Diceros bicornis minor: one gene and its partner. The protein of the gene in region 1 interacts with the protein of each later gene in a biochemical or structural test. Links are inferred from orthologs where the notes say so. Each region holds a gene or a part of one and is shown on either strand. Other genes may lie near its edges. The genes, in order: DYRK1B and HNF1A.

Region 1 (14,889 bases):
ATTAGGAATAGCGATTAGAAATTCCACCTTTTCATCTTTAACGCCATTCAGATGCATGAAGCTTTCAGAGTGTGAATACAATGCACCTTTACAAAAACTTGAGCAAGTGTACTAGTGACTAGTTTACATCAGGTGAGATCATTTTAAACCATCACTCATTTTCACGCTATTGTCTTATAACTCGTAGTTTTTCTGAATGGTACTGCAGAGCTTTTGAAACCCACACAGAAAAGTCACATATTCAATCTGTTAGCACCAGAATTCTGTCTGCTCCCAACATTGTTTTGTGCTCCGTGAAGTGAACAATGTTTGCTTTCTCCTGAAGTGATGAAAATAAAGTCTCTCCAAATCTTTTTCTTTTTCTTAAACTTTACATCTTGTTGACAAGCCCTAAACTGCTTAAGAACTGTTGCCCATCCATGAAAGACAATTCAGGTTTTTTTCTTCTTTTTCCCTGAGCTGTGAGAGACTTCTGCAGCCTTGGAAGCCGAGAGATCAGTTAGAAGGAAAGACATCATTCCAAGCTCCTCCCCCCTGTTTGGGAGTGGGCGCTTTTCTTCCAGGCATGAGGTCAGGAGTGGGAGGGCACGAAGATGTTTCCAGAGTCTGGAGGACCCTTCTGCCACGGTGCATGCACACATGCAGTGTTCGCTCTTTTTCAGACTAATTAATATGGAAAATAGAATGACTTCTGCGACTCTGCTATCCAACCAAAGAAAGCAGGATATTGACAGTAACCTACGTCGACCTATATACTCTTCCCCATCCTAACCCCATAATTTCTCCCTCCCGCCACCCAAGGTCATGAGTTTCGCAGTTATCATTCCCTTGCCTCTTTTTGGGGGGTGGGTGGCATGGGTTACCGCATATATCAATCAATCCAGCATAGCATCGTTGAATTTTAGTTGTTGCCGAACTTTATGAAAAGGATATTATGTGGATGTGGTTTTCTTGCACTTGCCTTTTCACTGAATGTTATGATTCTGAGATTTATCTGTCGTGTGTAACTATTGATCCTTTTCATTGTTGATTGTGAATTTTCCCCATATTATTTGTCCACTCTGCTGATGGACATGTCTCCTGGTGCAACGTGGACGTTTCTCCAGTTTCCTGAGTAGAGGTGTAGGAGTAACTACTTGAGTTCATTGTCCTGATTCCTGGTTCTGTTTTCGCCACAGGTTTCAGCCCCCGTGGGGGTGGCTTCGGTGGCCGAGGGGGCTTTGGTGACCGTGGCGGTCGCGGCGGAGGCCGAGGAGGCTTTGGCGGAGGCCGAGGTCGAGGTGGAGGCTTTAGGGGCCGTGGCAGAGGAGGAGGAGGAGGAGGTGGAGGAAGAGGTGGTGAGTGAGGTTGGGGAGATGTGATGGAGGAGGCTTGGGCTTGGGGAACAGGGAGGGAAGAGATGTGTGGTCTCCCTCTCTCACTGCATCTCTGCCTTGTAGGTGGAGGGTTCCATTCTGGTGGCAACCGGGGTCGCGGTCGGGGAGGAAAAAGAGGAAACCAGTCGGGAAAGAATGTGATGGTGGAACCTCACCGGCATGAGGGTGAGTGAGGAAGGTAGGGAACCCGCTGAGGGTAGGGGTGGGGTAGGGTGAGGTGCAGCCCGGAGTCTTCACCCCTGCGTTGGTCGTCTCACTCAGGGGTCTTCATTTGTCGAGGAAAGGAAGATGCTCTCGTCACCAAGAATCTGGTCCCTGGAGAATCAGTTTACGGAGAGAAGAGAGTCTCGATTTCGGTGAGACCTGGGCCCCTGTCCAAGCCACAGGGCCCCAGCCAATGGTGTGACTGGCAGTCTGGTCTCCCTGTCCCCACCATGTGTCCCACACTCGACAGCCAGAGGACCATCTTAATACATAAGTCATATCATGTGCTCCCCTCCCCAATGCCTTCAGATTAAAGTCCCAAGTCCTCAGTGCGGCCTGGAAAACCCTGCGCCTTCTAGCTCCCCTCCCCACTGGCCTCGTCTCCTCCCACTGGCCCCCTGGCCGAGTGTCTTCTAGCCACACTGACCCCCCCTGCTGTTCCCTCTGCCTGGAATACTCTTCTCCCAGCTCTGCGTGACTGGTTCCCTTTCATCACCAGCATCTCTGTCACGTATCACCTTGTCTTTCTCCCAAGGCCACCTGGCACCACCCTGTCTGTGGAGAGCAGCCCTCACCGCCCACCCCCCGCCCTGTCATCCTGCATCATTTCTTTAGGGCCAGGCACGCTCGTGCCTTGGGGCCTTTCTGCTGCCTGCAGTGCGCTGCCCCAGATAACGAATGGCCCCTCACCTCCTTCACCTCCACGCCAGGTGTCTCCTCGGCTCTTCCCTTGCGCATTTTCACCTGGCCCTCGCCCTGCTCCCCACACTTCACGCTTCTTGCCCACTTGCTCTTTCCCCTGGCACCTGTCACTGGCTGCTGTGCTGTCTGTGTCAGGCAGTTCAGTATGTACTTACTCCTTGAGGGCAGGTCTTTGCCTCGTTCCCTGTGTGTCCCCAGTGCCTGGCATAGGGTCTGGCACACTCATGTGCTGGCACAGTGGCTGCTTGGTGAATGAATGCGTGGGTCTTGCCGTTACTGGTATGATCTGTCTCTGTGTTGACTGTCTTGTCGCTATGCCTTCTCCCTGACAGTCCCCTCCATGAGAGGGCAGACACTGCATCTGTCCTGGTCACTGCTGTATACCCACGTTCATTTCTTGTTCTCTGATTGAGCGCCCAGTCCGTTTTGAGGGCCCGAGGGTTAAGGGCGGTGGGGTCTTGCAAAAGAGCCTGGCACTGACTTTCATCCCCATCTCTCCCGGCCCAGGAGGGAGATGACAAAATTGAGTACCGCGCCTGGAACCCCTTCCGCTCCAAGCTGGCAGCAGCGATCCTGGGCGGTGTAGACCAGATCCACATCAAGCCAGGGGCCAAGGTGCTCTACCTCGGGGCTGCCTCGGGCACCACCGTCTCCCACGTCTCTGACATCGTAGGCCCGGTGAGTGGACGGAGGGGCCGGAGGTGGGGGCCAAGTATGGGCTGGTGGTGCCGTAGGAGGCAGGGAAAGGCCCAGGCTGCTTCCTGCACTCTGTGGCTTGGAGCCAGGCCCTTCCCTCTCAGAGGGCCTGTGAGTAAAAGGAGCAGCTTGAACCACATGGTCTCCACAGCCTCATTCAGCATCACTCCTGAGTTCTTGGCCCGGAGGGAAGGGCTTTGGGCATCCAGGTGACTATGTTAGAGGGGCCCAGAGCTGAGAGTACAGATACCAGACTCTTTGTTTTGGTTGCCCTCTTTAAAAATGTATGCCCCTAAAATCTGGTCTCCTGGTTTCTCCTGAAAGAACAGGAGGTCTCAGTTTCTGGACCTGCATTTCTGTGTGGCTATACCGGTTCCCTATTTAGAGGGCCCCCGTGGGTCTCAACTTCATGACCCCCAGCTCATCTACATACCTATAGGCTGTGTAATTTAGTGGTGAAAAACCCCAGGCTCTGGGGCAGGCATTTAATAGTGAAGTGGTTCTCAGCAAGTTACTTAACCTCTTTGGGCCTCAGTTTACCCCTCTGGAAAATAGGGTTATTGTGAAGCTAAAGGAGTTAACTCCCGTAAAGTGCTTAAAGCAGTGCCTGGCCCACTGCAGATATTCTTAGCTGTTAGATTTCATCTCTGTGCCCTAGCTTCCTGGTATTAAGCCTGTATTGGGGCCTGGGCTCTCCGATCAGGCAAAGTGGAATTGAATAACCCTTGGCCAGTGACTTCACATCTCTGGACCTTGGTGTATTCATCTGAAAAATGGACATAACAATAGTTGTTAAATGGTAGGACTTTGATTTGGAGATTTGGAGAGATGCTGCGTGCAGTGAATGGGCCCAAAGTAGGTGCTCGATACATGAGAACTGGTATCATTGATGTTATTATTTGATGTATTTTAGGACGGTCTGGTCTATGCAGTTGAGTTCTCCCACCGCTCCGGCCGTGACCTCATTAACTTGGCCAAGAAGAGGACCAACATTATTCCTGTCATTGAAGACGCTCGGCACCCGCACAAATACCGCATGCTCATCGGTGAGGGGTCCAGGGGTTGGCCCAGGTAGGGTAGGACAGGCCACTCCAGGTTTCCTGGAAGAGGCCGCCAGAGCCCTGAATCAGATGGAGCTGAGTGGATGAGCAGGCCTCTTGCATCTGCAGCGGTGCAAAGGGTAGGGGAGCCAGCTGAGTTTGTGGAGGTGGTGGTCCCAGTTCAGGGTCTCAGATGTCTGACGGCTAGCCTCCTTCCCTCCAATCTCCTGCCCCTCTCCCTAGCCCCCCGTACTTCCTGGTACTGGTGCTTTTTACACTGGCTTATGTAGAAAAGCCTTCTTCAGAGGTCCTCCTCATCACCTGGAGAGAGCATAACCCAGGAAGCACAAACTGAGGCCCGGAGGGGCCCACTGTGAATATTAATGACTTTGTTTTTTAAGAAATTCAAAAGCATAATGTAAAAATGGAAGGCCTTATAAACTACCCCCAAAGGTAACTGATAACAATTTGATGTCTGCTTTTCCCAGTTTTAAAAAAGTCAGTTTTCATTACATCATCTTTTCCTTTTTTTAAGTTATTATTTTTTTAAATCACACTGCCTTAAAAATGTTATGTTGTATTCTGCTGGTTTTTCTTTCTGTGCATTTTTTTTCCATGCACTCATACCATATCCTTTGTCCTACTACTTGTTTTCATTTGACAAACCTGCAGACACTCTTGCCTGTAAGTGCTCACCTTTACTTGCCTTTTTGATGACATGTCTGTCTCCCCCCCCAGACCCGGGAGCGTCTCGAGGGCAGGGTCCGGGTCTGACTCGTCTCTGTGTCCCCCACGCCCGGCCCGGGGCTGGCCACAGAGTAGGTGGCAACCATGATTTACAAGAGGAATGAATGAATGGTGTGACTGTGGGTTTTGGACCCATCTTGGAGGCACCGCGGAGGGAGGGGGATCAGTGGGGGTAAGTGAGACTGGAGGCAGGAGACTTTGCCAGAAACCTGCTGGTGATGGGGCGCAGGCCCCACGAGAGGAGCTGGGAAGATCCAGTGGATCTGGCTCTTAACTGCCGCTTCTTTCTCCCTAGCAATGGTGGATGTGATCTTTGCCGACGTGGCCCAGCCAGACCAGACCCGGATTGTAGCCCTGAATGCCCACACCTTCCTGCGTAATGGAGGACACTTTGTGATTTCCATTAAGGTGCGGGGGCTTGGAGGGGTCTAAGATGGGGTGCTAGTATCTTTCTCGCTCTCTAACTGGCAAGCAGCCAGTCACTACAAGGGGGTCTCCACCCCTCTTAATCCAGTCAGTCTGTTCCCAGCCTCTATCCCTACCCAGCTCCCTACAAGCCACCTCTGCCCCAAGTCAAATAGCACATGATGAAGAACATCTTCAAAACTAAAAATCTTTGGATTTAAAAATGCAATAGAATGTAGTGGTCACGTGAATGATCGCTGGGTCTGACCATCTGAGTTTGAATTCCAGCTTGAATTAAGTGACTTTGAGTAAGATACTTAACCTGTGTGCCTGTTTCTTCACTGGTAAAATAGAAATATTAGTCCTATCTCTTTTAGTGTTGATGTAAGGATTCAATTTATCAATATATATGAAGTGTTTAGAACAGACCCTGGTATAAAATAAATTCTAGGTCCATGCTAGGTGCATTTTAAAAAAGGTTTTATTTTGAAATACAGAGAAGTCGCCTGTGTATCCTTCAACCAGATTCTCACCATTTGTTGGCCTTTTGTGACATTTGTTTTTGTATTCTCAGCTGCATTGTTACTATTGTTAAAGAAGAGGAAGTAGACGAAAAAACTCCTCGGTGTAAAATTTAAACACTGGCTTGTAGATCCATAGGGCTCTGTTGAAGGCTTCCTATTTCCAAGTCCAAACCAAATTGAAAACTTCTCTAAGGAAGTCTTTCCCTACATTTCCAAAACCTGAGTTTCACTGAGTTGCCAATAAAAAGAAATACATCTGGTTTAAAAAGCACAGAACAGGGAAAACAGCCTTGCCACAGACTTCAGACCCTCTCTCCTCTGCAGGCCAACTGCATCGACTCCACCGCCTCGGCCGAGGCCGTGTTTGCCTCTGAGGTGAAGAAGATGCAGCAGGAGAACATGAAGCCCCAGGAGCAGCTGACCCTGGAGCCGTACGAGAGAGACCACGCCGTGGTCGTGGGTGTGTACAGGTGAGCAGGGGCCCGGGATCCACCAGGACAGACATCTCTGTCCCCGCTGGGGGAGCCGCACAGGTAGTGCTGGAGTGCCCCAAAGTGGTGACAGGCTCTGAATATCCTCGTCTCCTTCCTCTCGCAGGCCACCCCCCAAGGTGAAGAACTGAAGCCCAGCGCCATCGGGATTGCGAGATTGTGTTGCTACTGTTAATACGTGTGTTTTCTATTAAAAGACTCATCCGTCGCTCCTGTCTGCTGCTGATGGCTTGACGGCCTCTCAAGACAAGGCGCATGCGCCCTTGGTCAACTTGCGGAGTGGTGGGGTGGAGTGCGCCTCCGGTCACACAGCGCATGCTCCTTTCCTAGCGGCTTCCTGCGCAGCCGTAACCCGGCTGTCGGCGCTTGGGCGGGGTTGGTAGCTCACTGCGCATGTACAGCGGTAAGCGCCGCTGAGCGCAGGCGCGGTGTGTTGCCCTGGGTCACGTGAGAAGGACAGATGGGGGGGCTGGGGGCGGAGCCCGAGGCTGGGGGGGCCGGTTTGTTGTGGTCGCCATTTTGCTGGTTGCATTACTGGGTAATCGGGGCCCTGGCTCGCCGCGTCCGCCGGATACCTTCAGCCCGTGGGCAGGTCTGGGCTCGGGCTTCCCGAGCAGTTTGAGTCCCCTTGCCCGCGCCCTCAGGTAACGACGCGGCTGCGGGCGGGGCGGCACGCGCTCGCGGTGAGGGGGGGCAGTACGGGACCCGCCCTGCCCGCGTCGCTGCGAGACTCAGCACGAGGCCGAGGGAGGAGAGGAGGGGGGTGGCGGGCAGGTGCAGGCCGTGCCCGGCTATTCATAGTCGGATTCCTGGAAGGGGCCGAGCCCGAGGCAGCAGTCTTAGCAAGGAGGCCGGGAGGGGGTAGCGGGGCCCCGCTCCCGCCCTTTGTTTGGGCTCGGCACCGCCGGCCGCTTCGTCGTCGCCTAGCAACAGCTGCCCTGGGCTGTGATTGGCTGAGCTCTTGGCAGCAGCGACCAATGGCACGGTTGTTGCCATGGCAGGTGCGGACTGCCAAACTCAGCCCGGCCCCGCCCGCTGGGGCTCCGTGGGCCGGGGCGGGCCTCTAGGGTGGGGGGCGGGACGCCGGGGTCCCCAGGGGCGGGGCCGGCGGGGCGAGGGTTAACCCGCCCCTCCCCCGTCCACCTGCTTTCTCCTTCCCCCGCGTGCCCCGGGCTGACCCTCGTCCCCTCCTCTCCCCGCCCCCGGCGGCGGCGGCGGCTGCTGTTGTCACCCACCGGGCCGCCTGTCCCGCTTGCCCTCCCCGCCGCGGGGCTTGCCGGGCCGGCCGGGCCGGGACAGGCGGCCGTCTCCTCACCGCCGCCACCGCCGCCATGCTGGCCGCTCGCCCACCCCACTGGGGGCCCCACCGCGCCCCAGCCCCCCGTGGGCCCCGCGCCAGCCCTGACCCGGGTAGGGGGTGGGGGCTGGGAGAGATGGTCCTGGTGTGGGAGGGCCCCGGAGAAGAGGTTGTTTTGGTGGGGGAGCTCCGAGAGAGAGGAGGGGTCGTGGAGTGGCAAGGCTTGGCATAGGAGGAGGATTGACATGGGAGAAGTGGCAGATACTCTGGGAGGGGAGACCTCTATGTGATATTTGGGGAATTTGGCTATGGGGGCCTTCTAGGAATGGGCACAGTTGTGGATTGACCCTGGCGAAGAGAGGAGGGACTGGAGAAAGGGCCCTGGTAGGAATGTTGGGGGAGGGGGAGGGGAGTAGGGTCCAGTGTAGGGTTGAGAAGGCCGAGTACTCTAAACCCAGCGTGGGAAGAGACGCCTCCCCTTTGCTCCCATCTGGAGGAGTAGGTTTTGATTGGGAGGGGGACCTTGGAGTAATGTGGGGAAGAGCCCTGTTTGGGGAACTGGAATATGGTATGGGGAAACTACTTGAAGGGGTGGTCCCTGATGTGGGAGGAAATGATATAGGGAAGAGGTCTTGGCATGATATGGGGAGGGTCCCCTGGGAATGGTGTGCCCTGGTGGATGAGAGTGCCATAGGGGTGGGACTCCAATGTATAAGGGTTCTCAGATAACCTTGGTGTGGTCAGGAGATCCCTAAGGACCCTGCTGTGATTTTAGGAGCCTGCAGAGGACTCTGCTGTGGTTTGGAGGGGGCCCAGAGGACTCTCATGTGGTTTGGGGAGGATCCTAGAGTTCTCTGGATTGGGGTACCTACAGGGAAGGGTAGATCTTGGAGTGGGGGGACCTTGCTGTGACAGGAAATGAGATCCTGAGGTTCAGGGAGGACTGCAGGAGGGCAGCATCTTGTGTGAGGGGCCCTGGGAAGGGCTAGGAGTAGAAATGGGAAGAAAAGAGTGAGCCCTACTCCCTATACTGTCTGTGGTTTCTATCTTTTTCCTCTCTTCCTTCCCCTAATTGTTGGTATCTTTCTGTCCTTTCCTGTCATGACCCATATCCCTGCGTGGCTCCCAATCATTCCCTTCACATGTCCCCCTCTTTATGCCACTTACTTCATTTATCCGGTAATCATTTGTTGAGGGACTCCGCTGTGCCCCTCCCCCCCCGCCACTTCTCTCTGTCCCCTCTCTTCATTGCCACCTGTTGCTCTCTTGCACCCTTTTTCTCCTCCCTCTGTGCCCTGTCTTCTCTCTGATGTCCACCTCTTTCCCGCCTGGCACTGTCCCACACATCCCCTTGTTCTCTGTTGTTCCCCTGCCTCCCGCCTGCTCTCAGGTCTCAGCGGCGGTGGCAGCCGAGGTGCAGGATGCGAGAAGGCGCCCCCCGGCCGGGCTCCCGCTCCAGGCCTCACTCCCTTGCGGCCCTCTGAGCCCACCATGGCCATCCCACCGGGCCATGGTCCCTTCTCTGGCTTCCCGGGGCCCCAGGAGCACACGCAGGTACGCGGTCAGCTGGCTCCTCACCTGCCTGGGGTAGGGGGAGGATGGGAATAGAAGGGGGCCAAAAGATAATGTGGTTGCCCAGGACAGTCTCCTGGGGACATGACGGGCCCTAGGAGAGTGGGAGGTAATAGAGGAGTTGCTGGCAGAGTCAGGGTTTGGAGAGCCTGGGTTCAAATCCTCACATGGTGGTTAAACGACTTCGGTTCTCCATGCTTCAGTTTACTGTAAAATGGGACCAGTAACGATACCTCCCTCACAGGATTGTTGTGAGGATGAAATGAGCTAATGAAATGCCTGTCAAGTGCCAAGAACAGTGCCCGGCACTTAGTAGACACTCAATAAATGTTCACCAAGCAAAAAAAGTCCAGAGTGAAAGATCTGGAGAGCGTGAAAGTGGAGGAAGACTAGGCCTGCGGGGTCTTGGAGTCAGCAGAGCTTGAGGGTACAGGGTCAAGACCTTCAAGGGCAGAGACTGTTAAGGTTCTGATGTGTAGAGCCTGAAGTGGGATGGAGTGGGAGGTCCAGGGGGCTGGATGCAGATCCAAGACCCTTGGGGTGAAAAAACTGGCAAAGATGCACAGAGGAGGTGAGGGTGAGGGTTGGGAAGGCCCACAAGATGGGGGCCTCTCAAGATGGGATACCCAGAGTGGCCAGTCTCAGGCCAAAGGACTGGGAGGGGCAGAGCCCAGGTTTCCTATCTGATCTCTCCCACTGAGGTTCAGAAAGGAGTGAGGTGTGGGATGAAAGGTCAGGGGTGAAGAGTCCACCCTTCAGTCACTCAGCGAGTCTCTCATGGACACCCCCTGCGTGCCAGGCCCCGCGCCAGGCTCTAGAGCTGCGGCAAGAACAAGACGACGTCCCTGCCCCTGGGGAGTTGACATTCTGTGGGGTTGTGAGACAGTGACCAAGTAAACATGTGCGTGCTAATGATGAGCCAGCCACCCATGTAGTTCTCCCCCTTGAGGTGGGAGGCAAAGGCCTGTCCTCAGTGTCCACCCCCACCCCGCCCCCCAGGTATTGCCTGATGTGCGGCTGCTGCCGCGGAGGCTGCCCCTGGCCTTCCGGGACGCGACCTCGGCCCCGCTGCGCAAGCTCTCCGTGGACCTCATCAAGACCTACAAGCACATCAATGAGGTGGGCCGGGGGTGGGGGGCCCGGGCTGGGTGCTGCGGGGTCCTGGCTGCTGGCACGGTCACTCACCAGTCCTTATCTCGGCCCCCCTGCTGGGCAGGTATACTATGCGAAGAAGAAGCGGCGGGCCCAGCAGGCACCACCTCAGGACTCGAGCACCAAGAAGGAGAAGAAGGTCCTGAACCACGGTTATGACGACGACAACCATGACTACATCGTGCGCAGTGGCGAGCGCTGGCTGGAGCGCTATGAGATTGACTCCCTCATTGGCAAAGGCTCCTTCGGCCAGGTGCGGGAGGCCCCACCCCACCCTGATCCAGGGACTAGGGGGCACGGGCACCCACTGGCATTGACGCCCACAGCCAGTGGGTCAGTGGCTTTAAGTTCTGTGCTGGGCCACTCACCCTAGCCCAGTCACTAGGTGTCCCTGTGCCTTAGTTTCCTTTTCTGTAAAACAGTGCAGATAACAGGACTCCGCACATAAGGTTGTATTATTTCATGTCCAGTGCCTGACAGCTGGTGAGCACTCAATTTTGAATTATCATTAGTATTATTGACACTGGTGGGTCTCCTTGGCTGGAGGCAGCAGAGTGGCGCCTGGCTCTGTCCCGCCCCCCTCCCCTCCCCTCCCCTCACTTTGTGACATGCCCCACCCCGGCAGGTGGTGAAAGCCTATGATCATCAGACCCAGGAGCTGGTGGCCATCAAAATCATCAAGAACAAAAAGGCCTTTCTGAACCAGGCCCAGATCGAGCTGCGGCTGCTGGAGCTGATGAACCAACACGACACGGAGATGAAGTATTACATCGGTGAGGCCTGGGGCAGTGGGACCGCTTAGGGGTGGGTCACCCCCGGGACAGGGGGCTGGAGTCTTCAGGGCAGGGTTTGGTGTGCAATCCCTGACATCAGTGACTCTCCCGCCACTTTCGTGATGTCTGCCCTACGCACATGGTAGTGCTGGTCAGAGTTTCGTGGGTGCTCACTAAGGGTCAGGCTCTGGTGTAAGCACTTTACGAACATTAATTTGTTGAAGCCACCCCACAGCCCCGCGGAGGAAGGGGCATGGAGATGAAGAAGGGGAGCCATTTGGGTGTTGTCATGGCATAAGGTGGCAGAGTTTGTGCTCAGTATGGCTAGAGTTGGACCAGGCAGTGGACCCCAGAGCCTTTCCCCTTGACGCCTGGGCCAGTCTTTTCCCTCTTTCCTTCACTGATTCCTCGTAGAAAAAGCAAATGGATCTAAAGATTGTGTTCCTTTGAATATACATCCTTACAGTAAATGGAAAATGAGTATAAACACAAAAACCACAAAATAAACAGAACTGAGACTAAAACCATGTGATAAAATTAAATGAGAAAGTGTAGGATGGTGTGAGAGCCCTGTCAGCACCGAATGGAAACTTTCTCTGGTTTAATCAGAAAGTTTGACAGAGACTTGAAAAGAATTAACTTTTCTTAATCAAGAATATCAATCAGTCCTTTTCTTGGTGGGAATCGAGTTATAGACCATCTAGAAACATCTCGACTAGCACGCCACCGTGGGGCCAGTGCTCCAGAAGCAGACACAGACCTGCTTCCAGCCTCTCTCTATTACTGCGCACCGCAGGCCGCCGCCGGCGCTCTCTGAGCGTCAGTGTCGTCTCCTGGGCCATTCCCCTTTCCTTGCCCTCTTCCCCGCAGTGCACCTGAAGCGGCACTTCATGTTCCGGAACCACCTGTGCCTGGTGTTCGAGCTGCTCTCCTACAACCTGTACGACCTCCTGCGCAACACGCACTTCCGCGGCGTCTCGCTGAACCTGACGCGGAAGCTGGCGCAGCAGCTCTGCACGGCGTTGCTCTTCCTGGCCACGCCCGAGCTCAGCATCATCCACTGCGACCTCAAGCCCGAGAACATCCTGCTCTGCAACCCCAAACGCAGCGCCATCAAGATCGTGGACTTCGGCAGCTCCTGCCAGCTGGGCCAGCGGGTGCGGCCCCTCCCGGGGGCGTGGCTAGCGGTGTGGGCGGGGCTGGGGCGGGGCCCGAGGGGCGGGCACGGCTGGGACGGGATTGTCCTGCAGCCCGAAGTGGCTGATGCTGAAGGATAGTGCTTGGGTTGGGGTGGCGGCAGTTACGGAGAGTGGGCCCAGTGGGTGAAGGCGGTAAAGGAGAGGGCCACAGGGAATCCTGCCCAAAAGGAAAGGGAAGCGTGAAGCCTGAGGCGGCAGGGTGCAGCTGGGTGGGCTGTGAGCCTTGGGTGGCACTTTGCTGAGTTTGGTTTGCCCCGCGCTCTTAAAGCTGGGGCTGGAGGGCGGGGAGCGCTTCAGCGTTGCAGCTTCGCGTAAGCTGACATTTGATGGTGATGGTAGTGGCTTGAAATAGGTCCGGATCGAGAGGGCGAGAAGGGCCTGGGCTTGCAGACTGCCAGCCTCTGACCGGTGACCAAGAGGGGCCCAGGGTCAAGCCTGGGGATGGAGATCAGGGTCAGACCAGGCCAGCAGAGACTCCTGAGGCCGATGAATAAGGTGGTGGTGGTGGCTCCTGGAAAGTCAGTGCTGATAACATCAGGGTTTGGAGCCCCCGTCCCTGGTTTTGGGGGCAGGAGGCTTGTCCTAGCCTTGGGGGTGTCAGTGGCAGCAGTAGGGGACGCTGGGACCTCTGACTGTTGCCCTTTCTCCTCCCCCAGATCTACCAGTACATCCAGAGCCGCTTCTACCGGTCGCCCGAGGTGCTCCTGGGCACGCCCTACGACCTGGCCATTGACATGTGGTCCCTGGGCTGCATCCTGGTGGAGATGCACACTGGAGAGCCCCTCTTCAGCGGCTCCAATGAGGTGTGCTCCCGAGGCCGGGGCATGCGGGGTGGTGGAGGCCTGGCCGGTCTGCTAACCCTGACGGCCCGCCCACTCGCAGGTGGACCAGATGAACCGGATCGTGGAGGTGCTGGGCATCCCCCCAGCCCCCATGTTGGACCAGGCACCCAAGGCTCGCAAGTACTTTGAGCGGCTGCCTGGGGGTGGCTGGACTCTACGCAGGACAAAGGAACTCAGGAAGGTGCGGCCCCGGCCCCACGCCGCTCCTCCCACCCCGGGGGCCCCTCACTCTCTCACACTTGGGGCTCCCTCTTCCCCCGCTTCCTCTCCCGTGTCTGTCCCTCTCCCCCCGCTTCCTTTCCCTTGTGTCTGTCGCTTCCTCCCTCTCTTCCTTGTCTGTCCTTTCCTTCCTCCCCAGCCCACCCCGTCTCTCCTACCCACCCCACAACTCTTCTTAGCTTTTCTCTTTCCACTTTCTCTCCTGTGCCTCTGTTTCCCCGTGTGTGTCTCCCTGCCCCTCCCGCCCACTGACGGCCACTCTCTTGCCCCCCCCCACCCCCTCCCTGCCAGGATTACCAGGGCCCTGGGACACGGCGGCTGCAGGAGGTGCTGGGCGTGCAGACGGGCGGGCCCGGGGGCCGGCGGGCGGGGGAGCCGGGCCACAGCCCCGCCGACTACCTCCGCTTCCAGGACCTGGTGCTACGCATGCTGGAGTATGAGCCCGCCGCCCGCATCAGCCCGCTGGGGGCTCTGCAGCACGGCTTCTTCCGCCGCACGGCTGATGAGGCCACCAACACGGGCCCGGCAGGCAGCAGTGCCTCCACCTCGCCCGCGCCCCTCGACACCTGCCCCTCCTCCAGCACCGCCAGCTCCATCTCCAGCTCTGGTGGGTGCCCAGTGCCAGGTGGCATAGAACAGGGGTGAGGGCAGCTCTGGTTGGGCCTGATCTGGGGGACCCTGCCACTGGGCCTTCACCTAGGGCTTTGAAACTGCAGGATCTGAACTCCAAAATGTGTGGGGCAGGACAGCTTGGATTGGCCCTGACCTGGTCTCTGAAACTGAGCTTGGGCTCAGACCCCTAAAACTGGTTCTGACTCTTGACACCCAGAACTGAACTCTGACCCCTAATCACAAAATTGAGCCCAATCCTTCAAGTGAGCACTAGTTACAGAGCCCAAATCTGGGCCTGGGCCATGGACCAGACTCAGCTACCCGAAAACCCAGCCACCGTCTCTCCTCACCTAAGGCCTCTTCTCTCCTCCCCTGGCACTTCAGGAGGCTCCAGCGGCTCCTCCAGTGACAACCGGACCTACCGCTACAGTAACCGATATTGTGGGGTCCCTGGGCCCCCCATCACTGACTGTGAGATGAACAGCCCCCAGGTACTGGGGCCTTGGGGACTTTGGAGGTGGGTGGTGGGGCATCTGGGGCTTCAGGACCTGGGTCTCCATCACCCACTGTTCCTTTGCTCCTTTAGGTCCCACCCTCCCAGCCGCTGCGCCCCTGGGCAGGAGGTGATGTGCCCCACAAGACACATCAGGCCCCTGCCTCCGTCTCGTCACTGCCAGGGGCCGGGGCCCAGTTACCCCCCCAACCCCAATGCCTTGGCCGTCCCCCGTCACCAACCTCACCACCACCCCCGGAGCTGATGGATGTGAGCCTGGGGGGCGGCCCTCCGGACTGCTCCCCGCCTCACCCAGCGCCTGCCCCCCAGCACCCGGCTGCCTCAGCCCTCCGGACTCGGATGACAGGAGGTCGTCCACCCCTCCCACCCCCTGATGACCCTGCCACTCTGGGGCCTCGCTTGGGCCTCCGTGGTGTACCCCAGAGCACAGCAGCCAGCTCATGACCCTGCCCCCTCCCTGGGGCCCCTCCTGAAGCCATACCCCCCCCCCATCTGGGGGCCCTGGGCTCCCATCCTCATCTCTC
Region 2 (14,943 bases), on another chromosome or scaffold:
AGAGCCCCCGGCCATCAGTCATCTTATTAATGTACAAAAAGACACTCTCATCATTGTGTCGATTCCAAAGGCCTTACAAGCTCTTCACGTCAGGAATCAGGGGCTAAGATCAGACAGTATAACAAAAGATGCTTCTATCACCTGCAACACTCAATTTTACAACGGTTTAGGAGCCCTGGGCCAGAACCTGGGAACGAAGACCAAATATATATATTTCTATCACCATCTCACGGTAGCCACGTCTACTGTGCGGTGGTCTGGTCTCTGCCCGTCTCCACGCTGCCCTGCGCCCCGGGGGTCTTCCCTGTCGCTGCCCCGTGGTTGGGTGTGGCAAGTGGAAAGGCCAGCGGGAGACGGGAGGGCAGGACACAGGGAGGTGGAGGTGGAGGATTTACTGTCGTGTCCCGTGTCCCACCCCCCCCACCCCCCCCTCCGGCGTTGAGTCACCTGGCTCTGTGCTCTCCAGATAGCCCCTTCCAAGGTACTGGTGGCCATTCCCACTCCTCACTCGTCCAGGCCCAGGCCTGCCAACAGCTCCCCGCCGTGACCAGCCCCAGCCCCCACCCCGGAGACTCCACCCCTGGGGTCCCCCTCCATCTGCTCCCACTTTGGTAAAGAGGTCCTTTATGATAGCTTCCCACATCCTCTAATTTGAGAGTGCCAGCTGGATCCCGCCAGGACCCCGACCAGTTCGCTCAGGGTGTGAAAATGAAGTCACAGCAAAGGGAAGCCTTGGTCCCACCCTGTCCTCCAGTGTCCGGGGTCCCCTCCCCAGAAACAACCAACGTGCCCAGGATCCTTTGTATCTCTCCATCCAGAAACACGATGGCACGGTTTTCGTTTGTTTCTTTTGGATGATCAACAACTAGTGAGTTTAGAGGCTGCGAGTCAGGCACGTGAATGGATGTGACTGGAACGCCAGGTCCCGAGGACACCCGGTTCAGCCTGATCTCCCTCTTTCCCTTTGTACCCTCACAAAGGCCTCCTTTTCAGTGGGCGGAGTCCAGAAGTGGCGGCTTTCTGGAATTGCTGATGTTCCAATGTTGAGGCTGCGACTAATTGACACTTGTCCATCAGTGGGAGGTCTGCCAATGAGAACTGGTTTCAGCAAGACCCAGGCATTGGCACTTCCTGGTCCCACGACTTCAGGCGTATAAGCCAATCCGGGAAAGCTGGCAGGGCTAGGAATCCCGGCTGGCAGCCTGCGCCTGCATTTGGCTCTTGGCTACTTTTTGGACTCGCTCAGCTGCGTGGTCTACTTTTCCCCAAAGAAGCCAAGGAGCAATTTTCATAATTCCTAAAAGATGTAGTTTTGTTCCCCTGGAGCTGTTTCATCCTGGGGCTTGGAGCCCAGCTTCCTGGGTTCAAATCCCAAATCTGCCATTTCCTAGCTGGGAGACCTTGGGCAAGTTGCTTAACTTCTCTGTGCCTCAGTTTCCTCATCTGTGAAATGGGGAGAATAATAGAACCTACCTCATAGAACTGTTGTGAGAGTTCAAGGAGCAAGTAAATGTAAAGCACTCAGTACAGGGCTTGGCACATATTAGGTCTCAAAAACATTAGCTATTTTTTTTATTAGGATGAAAACTAACATTTAATCAAATGCCTGCTTGCTGTATAGACACAACTGCTGTTTATCTCCTCCAATTCTCACAACAACCCTGTCAGGCCCAATTATCCCTACTTTACAGAGGAGGAAACTAGGGTTCAGAGTGGTTATGGGACTTGTTCAGAATCACACAGCGGGGTCATGGCAGAGCTTGTAACAGTTTGCTCTGTGGGCAGAGCTCTCAACTCGCCCTGGGGTTTGAAGTCCCAGCTAATGTACGTGTTGGCTCACTTTGATTCACGTCCTTGTGTTACAGTAGGGCTCTCTGGGCTTTTGCTGGCTGGAACCAGGTTATTTGTCTTGTAAACACCCGAGGGGGGGAAGCCACGTCTGAGACACCCAAGAGGCTGTGTCAGACAGTTTCCGCAACTTGCTAGATCCTGAGAAAACTGCCTGAGGTGTTTGTTCAAAGAAGAGATTGTCTGGCATTTCTCCTAGAAAGTTTGCTTCAGGAACAAAGGGGCGGGGCCTTGGAATCTGATTTTTTTTTACCTCGGTGACTGGGAATTCTTAGGATAAGGCAGGTTTGGAGACTTTTGCTGCGTGGACTTCGAGCGCCGTCTGCTGCCGATGAAGAGGATGACAGTAAAACAGACGGCGGCGTCCCCGGGCGCGGGCGCCGTCCCTCGACAGGTGTTTTCCTGCTTCAAGTCTTTGTTCTACCCTTGAGGGTTACAACGGGCCCGGATCAGAGCTGGGCGGTGGCACGGGGAAGGTCAAGGTTCTCCTTGCTGTCACAGAGTTTACGCTCTAGTTGGATTGACAAGATACCTTCAGGAAATCACGAGAAACGCGTTCAGAAAGAGCGGATTGAGCTCCCTCCCGCAGTATTTCCTGGGCATGCGCAGTGTATGGAGCCCCAGGCGTGTAGGTACCAGCATTTCTGAGGCCCGGGAGCCCAGGAAGAGACGACCGAGGTTCTTGCCATCTGTGGCCCACAGCCAGGTGAGGATCCAGGGACAGACACCTGAGATGGGGAACAGAACGTGGGCGCCACATAGCCTGGGGAGCCTGGCTCATTTGGGGCGGCGGGGAGGAGCTACCACCCAAATAAAAATAACTTTATTTTTTTTTCTATTTTATACCTGTGAAAATAAATATTCATGTTAAACTATTCAAATAATACAGAAAAGAGTGAGAAAGAAAGTACAAATCACCTGAAATTTAAAGTGTCAGTTCAATGGTTGTATATTACCGGGGTTGTGCAACCATCATCACAGTCTAATTTTTTTCCAGTTTTATTGAGATATAATTGACATGTAATATTTACGTATTAGTTTATGGTGTACAGCCTACTGATTTGATACATGTATATATTGTGAAATGGTTACCACAATAAGTTTAGTTAACATCTATGGCCTCCCATAGTTACATTTTTTTTTTCTTTTTTTTGAGGCTTCTTTTCTTCCTTTCTTTCCCCCTCCCCTGCTATTATTTTTGTTTGTGCATAGCTCCCTGCCAAAGGTAACTGATGTTGACAGCTTGGAGCATGTCCTTCCACATCTTTCTCAAATATGCATATAGAAACACATTTATCGTTGTTTTACAGAGAACAATATTCAGTTCTCTGCCCTTTGATGCACGGAGCTTGCACACTTTGGGCCTCGCTCCAGACCCATTAAATTAAATCCTTGAGCGTGGAGCCAGGAATCTGTATGTCTCACCCTCGATCCAGGGCTTTCTGGTGCTGCTGGCCCTGCGCCAGTGAGTTGGGGAAGGCTGGCTAGTGAAGGCTCATGTTGCTGTGGGCAAGAGAAGGGGTCAGAAGGAGACCTGTAGAGGATCTTGAGGACAGGCTAACATGTGGAGGTCTCCAGGTAGAGAAAACAGCTTGTGCAGAGGCCTGGATGTGAGAGATTCCAGGTGTGCTCTGGAGATGGAAATAGTGTGGCTGGTTAGAGAGCAGAGTTGCGGTATTGATGGCCTTGAATGCCAGAGTCAGGGCTTAAGAGTCAAATGGAATGGGTGGCAGGGACTCTTATGTGGAGAACTTTTGCCAAAGAAGAGAACTCAGCCTGGACAAGGTGAGTGGGGCAGTCATGTTAATAATCACGTAATGATAATCATTCAGTAGTGGGGAGCGCTTACAATGTGCTAGGCACAGTGCTTTATGTGTATTACCTCATTAATCCTCCTTACAACCCATGAGGCAGATAGTATTTCCATCCCCATATTAGAGAAGAGGAATCTGAGGCACAGAGAGGTTAAGCAAGTTGCCCAAAGTCACACAGCTGGCAAGTGGCAGAGCCAAGCTCAAACCCAGGCACTTGAGTCTGTGCTCTTAACCACCGTGTTTTATTCCCTCAGCTCCTTAGTTTCTTCATCTGCAAAACCAGCATGGAGGTGACAAGGCCAACGGGCAGAGACACACTTACCCAGAACAACAACAAAAAGTAATAGTAACAAGTATTTAGTGAGAGTGAACTGCCTCAAAGAAAGAAGGACATAGAATAGCAGTCAAGGGCTTGGATTCTGGCATCAGAGAGAGCTGGGTTCAAATCCTAGCTCTGCCGTGCACTAGCTAGGCAGGATCCATATGCTCTTAGAGCCTCAGTTTCCTCATCTGTAGTATGGGCTGAAAGTACCTACCCCGTGAGGCTATTGAGATGTTAAATGGATGAAAATCGCATATAGCAGCGACTGTTCAATAAAGATTTAAAGGGCAGTGGGACTCGGAGGAGGAATAGTTCAAGTTTGAATACAGGTGGGCCCCGAGGTGTGGGGGGGGTGGTGGTAATCGAATTCCAAGAGTCTGAGACTGACTGACAGGGCTCAGTGTTGCCTCCCAAGGCCAAGGAGAAGCCTTACGCCTTGCCTCAACTTTGGCCTTGCAAACAGCTGCTCGCCCGGCAGGAGAGAGTGGCGATGACGCTCAGAGCTACCACTGACGGTATATCTGCTGTGTCCAAGCCCGTCCCCTGGGGCCGCAGTTCCCAAACTGTGCGCCGAGGTGCCCCTGGGCACTGCGGACTATTTTAGAGGATTTTTGAAAGGAACACAGCGCCATCTGCCGGACACCTTGCAAACTACCAGCTCAAGGTAGTTCGCGGTTTCAATGTTTGAGGAGCTTCCTTCCTTTAGATGACGTCACAGCTTTGTAAAGCTGGGTTTATGGCAGTTGTTCTGATAACAAGCAAATATCTTGCAAAAATCATTGTGGAGCAGGAAATGAGGGTGGTAACGTCCAGTCTAATTCCAAGGGTCGAGCAGTTGTGCAGAGCCCCACAAGCCCACCCACCCATAAGCACATACTTAGCATTAAGAAGGAACTAAAATATTATTTTTTTCTTTCAATTGATGTGCATTTTTCAAGCGGCTACTAAGTTGTGAGGACATGAATACTTATTAGTTGTTTTAACCTAACTACTTATAAAAGTTAACTGTTAGTTTTTTTTATAGAGGCAGGAGGTGCCGTGAAAACATCACCGAGACACTAGAGGCGCCTTGAACTGAGGGGGTTTGGAATTTCTACGTTATGCTCTTTACAACCCTGGCAGATCCATACTTCTATTTCATAGATGAGTCAGGAAAGGCTACCCAGCAGGGGTGGGGGTGGTGTGTGGGGACAGTGATTCTCAGGAAGGCAAACTGCTCTCCCAACCTGGAGTCAGTTCAGATTTGTCCCCTGACTGTGGGGAAGGGCAGCCCTTTCTGTCTGTCTGCCTCCATGTCTGCGGGGCAGCAGGGTCAGGTTGCTGATGTCCCTTCTCCTTCATCAGAGGGGGCCCCACTCAGGGCCCAGGACAATAGCCCCTGTGTGTCCTGGGAGCTGAAGTTGGGCCCTGGGGGCCTCTCTCCTTAGACCTCCTGAAGGCTCTCCCCCCACCCACTGCTGGTCCACCTCCCAACCAAACCCACCTTCAGTCCTGGAGGCACCGGCTGGGCCACTTGGCTGCAGGAGGACCTAGCAGTTCATGAGTTCAAAGTTGTGCAAAGGATCCCGCCCCACCCTTCTCCCTCTTTCTGGTTCCCTCTTCTAGGTGAAACGTCACACAGCCTCCTGGCAGGGTACGGCAAGCAGGAGCACCATGAAACCACGAAGGGACAGCACACAGCATCGCCCCTGCCCTTCAGCCTGGACTTGAGAATCCTGCCCCCAGCAGTGAGCCCCCTTACCCCAAAGCGACTCACACTGGAGGAAAAAGAAAACACTGGAAGAAAGGTGGGGTCTCCCTTTCCCAAAGGGCAACTGTCAGCATTGTCCTGCACAGTCAGACTGCCCGGCTCTGGACGCCCCTGAGCAAGCCATTGAACCCCTCTGAGCCTCTGTTTCCTCTGCTGCAGAATGGGAATAATAACAGTGCCTACTTCACAGAGTCGTTCTGAGAGTTTAATATACGACAAAGCTTAGTGCAGAGCTAAGTATACAAGGTCGGTGCACAATGAAATTTAGCTATTCATTCATTCATTCCACAAATATTTATTGAGCACCTACTAGGTACGTACGAGGCAATATTCTAGACGCTGGGAATACAGCAGTGAACGAGACAGACAAAACCCTGCCGTCAGCAGGCTTACGTTCTAGCAGAGGGAGATGGACCATAAATAACAAACCTAATACGTAAGTAAATTCTAGAGCAGTGCTGCCCAACTGAAATATAATGTGAGCCATGTTATGTAATTTAAAATTTTCCAGTAGTACCATTACGAAAGTAAAAAGAAACAGGTGAAATTAATTTTTCTAATTTTTAATTAAAAATTTTAAAATTCACCCGATATATCCAAAATATTATCATTTCAACCAGAAGGCATTAGCCACATCTCGAGTGCTCAGTAGCCACATGTGGCTGGTGGCTGCTGTGCTGGGCAGCACAGTTGTGCAGCACGTCAGAAGGTGAATGCAGAAATGAAGACGTAATTCAGTGTTGGGGGGACTGGAGCACCCCATGTGGGAGCGGACAGACTGAGAAGGGGATTTGAGCTGACAGAGAGCTCAATTATCATTGTCAACCAGCCCCCTTCCTCCCTGCTGGCCTCGCCTGGCTGCGGGAGGGTTTTCTGGCCAATAGCATCTTATCCCTTCCTCTGTCGCCAAGCCTGACCCTGGTTCTGCAGACCCCTGAAAGATGCGGACCCTCTGGACATGCCCCAGCCTGGGGGGCGGCCCCTCAGCACCACCCCGCCTGCTCCAGGAAATGGTGTGCATCCTTTGTTTTGGGGGCTTAGGGCCACCCCGGGGGACACACAGCAGGAATTTTATCAAGGCTCTGTCTGGAGGAGGGAAGAGCTGGGTGGGGGCGTGAGGGACCAGTGCTCACCCAGGGCTGGGATTGGGGGGAGGGGAGTGAGCACTGGAGCCTGGCTTTATTTAAAATGTTGATATTTTGTTCATCCCAGGTTTTTTGCATTAATTAAAAAAATATTTTTTACTGATTCATATATCATAAAATTCAGCCTTTTAAAAAGTTCACAATTTCCGTGGTTTTTACAGTTTTGTAACACCACCTAATCAATTTTGGGACATTTTCACTGTCCCCAAAGACACCCCTGACAACCACTAACCTACTTTCTGTCTCTATGGATTTGCCTTTCTGGACATTTCATAGAAATGGACTCACAATATGTGACCTTTTGTGTCTGGCTTATTTCCCTTAGCATAAGGTCTTCCAGGTTCATCCACATTGTAGCACGGATCAGCACTGCATTCCTTTTTATGGCCGAATAATATACCACTGCATGGATAGACCACATTTTATTTATCCATTCATCTGTTCATGGATATTTACGTTGTTTCTACTTTTTGGCTATTGTGAATAATGCTGCTGTGAACATTCACGTGAGAATTTCTATGTGGGCATGTGGTTTTTTTTTTTTGTGTGTGAAGAAGATCAGCCCTGAGCTAACATCCATGCCAATCCTCCTCTTTTTGCTGAGGAAGACCAGCCCTGAGCTAACATCCATGCCAATCCTCCTCTTTTTGCTGAGGAAGACTGGCCCTGAGCTAACATCTATTGCCAATTCTCCTCCTTTTTTTTCCCTTTTTTCTCCCCAAGGCCCCAGTAGACAGTTGTATGTCATAGTTGCACATCCTTCTAGTTGCTGTATGTGGGACGCCGCCTCAGCATGGCCGGAGAAGCGGTGCGTCGGTGCACGCCCGGGATCCGAACCTGGGCCGCCAGCAGCGGAGTGCACGCATTTAACCGCTAAGCCATGGGGCCGGCCCCAGTGGGCATATGTTTTTAATTCTTTTGGATTTTGCATTCATTTTGATTTTTAATATGTTGGATAAAAATATTATTTTTCTTGAATACTGAGTTTTTGGGCGCCCCCTTAAAATTCGTGTCTGACTGGCCTACCCTGTTCCCACCCTGTGTCTTGCCCCTTGCTGGCTGGGTGACTTTGGGCAAGTTGCTTACCATCTCAGAGCCTCGGTTTCCTCTTCTGTGAAATGGGTATAGTCCCCATACCTGCTCACAGCTGGGAGGGGGACACAGTGAGGTCATGACGCACGTTATAGACCAGCACATCCCTGGCACACAGTAGACTTGTGCCAGTCGACAGTCTTTCCTACGGGGAGGCCTGGCGTTGGGCCTGATGGGAGGTGGCAACATAGATGTGACCTAGCCTTGCCCTTGAGGAGAGCTGGCCCACCTGCCTGGAACACTTGCTGCTTCTGTTCCCAGGGGAAACGTGCTGTTTCTGCTCTCCTGCCTCAGCCTGACCCCCTACAAGGTCCCTGGGGATGAGATCTGATGCTGCTCACCCCAGGGCCTCCTGGGCTCCCAGCACCTTCCACCTCAGCTGCCCTGGGCCCCCACCGCCGCCTCCCCCACCCTCGCTCTGCCCACTCCCACTGCAGGCCGCGGCTCCCGGCCCTCTGCGCTGCCATGAGGCCCGCACTTTGCAGGGCTGAAGTCCAAAGTCCAGGCCCTTCGCTAAGCACACGGATGAATATGAACCTTGGAGAATTTCCCCAGCTCCAATGTAAACAGAGCGGGCAGGGGCCCTGATTCACTGGCCGCTGGGGCCAGGGTTGGGGGTTGGGGGTGCCCACAGGGCTTGGCTAGTGGGGTTTGGGGGGGTCGTGGGTGCAAGGAGCCTGGTCTGTGCCTGCCTGCTGGCCGGCGGGCAAGGAGACAGCCCACGCGGGGGAGGCGGCCAGCTCGGTGGCCCCGGGCCGCGTGGTCCAGCGGCAGAGGAGCCATGGTTTCTAAGCTGAGCCAGCTGCAGACGGAGCTCCTGGCGGCCCTGCTCGAGTCGGGCCTGAGCAAGGAGGCGCTGATCCAGGCCTTGGGGGAGCCGGGGCCCTACCTTCTGGCTGGGGATGGCCCCCTGGACAAGGGGGAGTCCTGTGGCGGCGGCGCCGGCGGCGGCCGAGGGGAGCTGGCCGAGCTGCCCAATGGGCTGGGGGAAACGAGGGGCTCCGAGGACGAGACGGACGACGATGGGGAAGACTTCACGCCGCCCATCCTCAAAGAGCTGGAGAACCTCAGCCCCGAGGAGGCGGCCCACCAGAAAGCCGTGGTGGAGACCCTGCTGCAGTAAGGCCCCTTCCCTGTGCCCGGCTCCCCAGGGGCCCACCCGCTGCTCCTGGCCGGGCCTTCTGAGGCCAGAGTTCCACGAGTGTGGCCTCGAGCCTAGTTGTCAGGAAGGGGACAGGGCCCAGGAGAGCTTGCGTGGGTGGGGGGTCCTTGCTTGAGGTTGGAGCCTCCAGGCCCGACCTGGCCTCTGCAGAGTCTGAGTCCCCACGAGCCGCGGCTTTCAGCCCAGTGCCTGGGAAGTGGGGACATGCCCCAGGGGAGCTCCGAGACGGGGAAAAGAGGGAGAATCCACATTCAAGTGCCTGGAGAACCGGGGTGGGGGGTGGAATTTTTAGCTACCACGGCCATTTCCACTCCCGAAACCCTAACTGCCCTGCTAAGCGACAGGATGCACCGCTGGGGAGGAGGGGCTGAGGCTGGGGTTTTGGGGACTCCCCAACCACCCGGCGACTCAAGCATTCAGCCAGGAAAGCCCAGATCTTTCTTACCTGAGGGAGATGGAGCCTTGGGGTGGGGGCTGCTCCTCTTTCCTGCACAGCCTCAGGCGCCATTAGAGTCCTCCCCGTTCTGTACCCCCATCCATTGGCTGGCTCCCCATCTCCCAGAGAACTGGGTGGGTCTGAGCCAGATGCTTCCCCTCTCCTCAGCAGAGCTAACCTGGTTACTAATTACCCGCAAGCTTTATTATTTCTCTTTTGTTTTATAAATTTATAAACAGCAAAAGGCTCTGATAAGGCCTGTGATCATTAACTTGGAGGGATGGTGGCCTGGGGAGCCCTGGGCCAACCAACCTCCCACTCAGTGGGGGTGGGGGATGGGGAGTGTGGGGGTGGAGGGAGGGGGGCCTGGGGGCTCAGGGACCGCCCCTCCCCAAAGGCTCCCTAACCTCCATCCTAACAGCGGGACGCTGTGCTGAAGTTTCACATGTATCATTTTGGATAATGTTGAGGTGAACCCTGGGAGGAAGCTATGGATAACTCTGCTTCGCAGACGAGGAAACTGAGGCCCGGAGAGGGGAAGCAGCTTGACTAAGGCCACCCAGCTGGGACTTCACACCCACTCTGCTTGGTGCTCTCAGTTGCCATGACTGGGGGCCAGGGACCGGCCGGGGGTGGCTGGGGGAGCTGTCTGAGGAAGAGGCCTCTCCAGGGGACCACGTCTTTTCTGTCCAAGGTCCTGATCCCAGCTTGGGGTGGGGGAGGGCTGGATCCCGCCTCAGGGAGCCCTCAGGGTCTGCCAGGCCTCGTGAGGGCCCGGGCAGCGGGCAGGGGAGCAGCCAGGGCCCCCTGACTTGGCAGGAAGAGGAGGGCAAAGGGCCCCGCTGGGCTGCAGGGGAGGGGCAAAGAGTCAGGCATCGCCAGACCTGGGACGAGGGCCACCGGGACAGGGTGGGGCTGGGCCAGACTGGCTCCGGGCCCTAGCCGGGATTGGGGGCTCTTGAGTGGGAGCGGAGGCAGAGGGTCCAAGGGCCTTTCTTACCTGGCGGGGTGGGGCCTCTTGATCAGCAGCCCCTGTGGTGGGATGGTGGGTGAGGGGGGAGGCTGGATCCACAGCGCTTGAGGGGGGAGCAGAGGTCAGAGTGCTCCCTGGGGACCAGCAGAGACCTGGAACCTGAGGGAGAGAGGGGAGGCAGGGAGGAAGAGAGAGGATGTCGGGCGAGATGGAGAGAGAGGCCTGGAGTGGCAGAGCTGAGCAGAGCAGCGGGAGGGGAGAGGGGCTCGCACCCAGCTGGGAGAAGGGGCTCGGGAGAGACTGAGGCGCCCCAAGCTGAGAGGAGGCTGGAGTGCTTCCCGCCCGCCCCGATTGGGTTTTCTTTAATGCTAACAGCATGCTATTTACTTTCCATTTAAATTTGAGATGTTGCTATAAATTATCAACCAGCTCCTTGTTCCTGCGGAGTTTATAACTAACTACCTGGGTTACTTATTGTTCAGGTAACAAAAGGGATCTGAGAACGCCTCGAGGGAGAAAAGTGGGGCCTCTAGCCTCGGGGCACCAGAAGGAGAGGGGTGGAGGACCCTCGATGAAGGCCTGGGCACTGAGGAAGGTTAAGGCTGGAAGGGATGATGCAGAGGCAGGACTGCCAGTGGAAGCCATTTCTCTGCAGAAAGTGTCTGGGAAGAGGCAGGGGTGGGTCTGGATTCCAGGCCTCCCCAGGGTGCCCCGTGCTTGAGGCCACAGCAGGAATCTGAGCTCTTCCCTTAGATTGCCACCCTTAGTTCACCCTGTGACCTTAGGCAAGTTTCTTCGCCACCTTCTGCCTCAGTTTCCCTACCTGGACAGTGAATAAAATTCAAATTCCCTGCCCTGGTTCCCTGACCTCGTTCTGAGGGACCTCCCTGCCTCACTCTCTTTCCATCAATTACACTGACTTTGCTGATTCCCACCTCAGGGCCTTTGCATGTGCTGTTCCTTCTGCCTGGAACCCTCTTTCCAGATCTTCCCATGGCTGATTTCTTCTCCTCCTTTTGCTCAAATGTCACCTCCTCAGGGAGGCCTTCCCCAACTACCCCATCTAAAGGTAGGCCCACCCCCGTCACTCTCTCGTCCACTACTTTCATTGACTTTCTCCTGTCCCTTATCATTATGTAGGATGATCTGATTTGTTTATCTGTTCATTTTCTATCTCCTGCTATGAAAATAGAAGTTCTTCAAGAGCAGGGCCCTTGTTCACCTCTCCTACCCCGATACCCAGCCCAGTGGCTGACACACAGCATGAATGAATGAATGACTAGGATTCTCTGAGGCCCTGGGGACATCTGCTGCTATGGTGGAAGGAACCTGTACCCCGGGCTCCTTCCTGGGAGTCCTCCTAGGGCCTCCCTGTCCCTCAGCAGCTCAAACCTCAACCCTGAGGTTCTCTGATCCTCCCCTTCAGGCACTGAGACCCAGGAGGACAGTGGCCAAGATGGGACAATCTGACATCCCTGACTGAGGCCAGCCTGCCTGGGTCGGATCCCAGCTCTGCCCTATTCTAGCTCGGGCTAGGATTTCACTTTTCTGAGCCCCTGTGTCCTCTGCAAGGTGGAGGTGATAATTAACACTTACCCACAGTATTAGCACGTAAGTGTGATAAACGGTTGCTATTATCAGTGGTCCCGTTTTACAGAGGAGCAGACTAAGGCTAGGAGGGACAAAGCGACTCGCCCAAGGTGCCTCTTACAAAGTAATAAGACCAGGACTTGGATGCGGGTCGTCCTGATCCCACAGTCTGCACGGTGCCCTTGAGATTGCATGCCCGTCCTTGATACGTTTATCTCCCCGGTTAGCCTCCCCAGTCCTTCGTGCTGTTGATTTCATCATCAACTCACTTCTGCGCAGGGCTCTAGAGCTGACGAAGGGCCTGCAAGTGCATTCAACTAGTTTTCTCCTCCTGACAACCTCTGAAATATTGCTAGCCCCACCTCACAGTTGAGGAAACTGAGGCACGGGGAGGTTAAGCAATTTCCCAGGGCCACCTGGATAGGGAGCGGCGAGCTGGGGTTCCAATGGAGATGGGAAGGCCCCACACTAAGAACTCGGCTCCCCCTCCAGATGAGGCCCTGGAGGCTGGTCTCCCAGCTCCACGCCCATGGACCCCCTGAAACCCCAGGGGCCAGTGAGCAAAAGGCTCAAACCTGCACCTCTGATTTGACTCCAGAACGGGTAGGAGGCGGGAGGAGGGGGATGTAGGCAGATTTTCCCCTCTCCTGGGCCCCCTTCCCTCTGCTGTGGGGCTGGGGGTCCCAGGACCACATCGTGGATGATGATGAGGATGATGGTGATGATGGTGATGGTGATGATGATGGTGATGATGGTGGTGATGGTGATGATGGTGGTGGTGATGGTGATGGTGGTGGTGGTGATGATGATGATGGTGATGATGATGGTGATGGTGATGGTGATGATGGTGGTGGTGGTGGTGATGATGGTGATGGTGATGATGATGGTGATGGTGATGATGATGGTGATGGTGATGATGGTGGTGGTGATGGTGATGGTGGCGGTGGTGATGATGATGGTGATGATGATGATGGTGATGATGATGGTGATGGTGATGATGTGATGGTGATGGTGATGGTGATGGTGATGGTGATGATGATGGTGGTGATGATGGTGGTGGTGATGATGGTGGTGGTGATGATGGTGGTGATGATGATGGGGTGGTGATGATGATGATGATGGTGATGATGATGGGGTGGTGATGATGATGGGGTGGTGGTGATGATGATGGTGGTGATGATGATGGTGATGATGATGGTGATGACAATATTGTTCCACTCACTGAGCAGTTACTGGGTGCCAGGCCCTGGGCTATTTTCACCCCTATTTGAAGCTCATTCATTCTCCCAATAGCACTGCAAGGCAGGCGTGGGTTTACCGCCGTGTTACAGGGAAGTTGTGGGGTTTGCACACATCAGGTGTGAGGTCGCAGTGGTGGGATTTGAACCTAGGTCGGTTTGACTCTCAAACCCACTAGAGTGGAAGCAGGAGATACCTGGAGACGTGGCCTCTGAGTTCTGAGTTGGGGAAACTGTCTTGAAAAGAATCTGGTGCTTGGAGACTGAGTGTGTGTGTGTGTGTGGTGAGGGGCGAGTGGGAGAAAGAGACAGAGCGAACAAGAGACACACACACACACACACACACATGCACACACACAGAGGCAGAGAAAGAGAAACCACGGCAGATAGACAGACACAGAGAGACACCCGGACTCAGAGGGACGGTGACAGATGGTGAATCTTTAGTCTGAGCCAGGAGAGGCCCTGCTGAGAGGCAGACTGAGCTCATTGTCTCTGGAGAAGAGAGATGGAAGGTAGGGAGGATTGCTCCCGAGGGTGACGGCTGCAGTCAAGGGAGGGGGGCGGCCATCGGGCGGCCCGGCTCCAGGATCAGATAAACATGTTTGCCACGAAGCACAAGGCTGGACTTTGTACTGCCCTTCCCTCCTCGCTCTGACTGGCACCCAGGGAGCGGGGGAGGGGGAGAGGAGAGAGGATCCTGGGAGCCCTTGAAAGCAGAAGAGAGAGGAGCTCGGGGAAAGGTCTGGGGGGCCTGGGCAAAGTGAAAGATTCTTGAGTCCCAGCCAGGTCACCTTGGAGCAGGGCTCACCTTTCTGAGCCTCAGTTTTCTCCCCTGTGAAATGGGCATACAGGTAGTACCTCCTTCCTAGGGTTATTGTAAGATTTATGTGACCAGCCTGTAGCACAGTGCCTGGCTCACGTAAACACTCAGGAAACATTCATCCTCACGGCCCACACTGTTGCACCAGTGGGACTTGGCTGTACTGACTGCTGACCATATAAATGTATGTGTCCCCACCCTCTGTCCCTCCCTGCTTGTAAGGGAACTGCTGATAAAAAAGGAGGAAGTCAGAGGGCCGAAGCTGGTGAAAGCTCCGTGCATGCCCTTGTGTCCTAGAAGAGCACTGTCGGGGGCAACGCAAGGCTGGTTCTCTGGGGAGGCAGAGAAAGGCCGGGGGAAGGCAGTGCGGGGAGCTTCAGAGCACTGGGGGGTTATTTGCTTTTAGTGTTTTACAATTCAGTTTTAAATATTACATATGCATATGTAGTGTATTATATAATATTATGCTATATTACATCATTTAAAAAGTGTAGAAAACTAACAGAGATCACTGTCTCTCTCACCTTGTCCCCAGCACCTAATTCCCCTCTTGAGGCAGCGTCGCCAATTCCTTCTGTCCTTCTGACATTTCATGGGAACACAAGCAAAGACGTAGAAATCTTCTTTTAACCCACTTTAAATTTTATGCAAATAGCAGCACAGCAAACCCCCAGACAAACTCGGTTCTGTCTGGGCGCACGCGGAGCTTCTCAGTGGGTTTTCACGGCTGCATCGTACGGAGCCACCGCA

The links.
Region 2: of the proteins of DYRK1B (region 1) and HNF1A, one has a biochemical effect on the other in vitro, tested with the Homo sapiens proteins (2 studies listed by IntAct, with this or other methods). The link is inferred for Diceros bicornis minor from reciprocal best matches to the Homo sapiens genes DYRK1B and HNF1A.

The regions. Positions count from the first base shown.
Region 1 is NC_080773.1:13,598,932-13,613,820, reverse strand, and holds the start of DYRK1B (dual specificity tyrosine-phosphorylation-regulated kinase 1B), read left to right. Parts: upstream 1-7,357; 5' UTR 7,358-7,516; coding exon 7,517-7,595; intron 7,596-8,872; coding exon 8,873-9,036; intron 9,037-10,053; coding exon 10,054-10,173; intron 10,174-10,270; coding exon 10,271-10,459; intron 10,460-10,831; coding exon 10,832-10,979; intron 10,980-11,849; coding exon 11,850-12,136; intron 12,137-12,834; coding exon 12,835-12,981; intron 12,982-13,060; coding exon 13,061-13,201; intron 13,202-13,530; coding exon 13,531-13,846; intron 13,847-14,235; coding exon 14,236-14,342; intron 14,343-14,437; coding exon 14,438-14,809; 3' UTR 14,810-14,889. Other genes in the region: FBL (rRNA 2'-O-methyltransferase fibrillarin), read left to right, coding at 1,179-1,337, 1,440-1,541, 1,638-1,732, 2,790-2,960, 3,892-4,024, 5,061-5,173, 6,019-6,164, 6,292-6,316.
Region 2 is NC_080774.1:17,389,438-17,404,380, forward strand, and holds the start of HNF1A (hepatocyte nuclear factor 1-alpha), read left to right. Parts: upstream 1-8,714; 5' UTR 8,715-8,752; coding exon 8,753-9,090; intron 9,091-14,943. UniProt on the Homo sapiens protein: Transcriptional activator that regulates the tissue specific expression of multiple genes, especially in pancreatic islet cells and in liver. Binds to the inverted palindrome 5'-GTTAATNATTAAC-3'.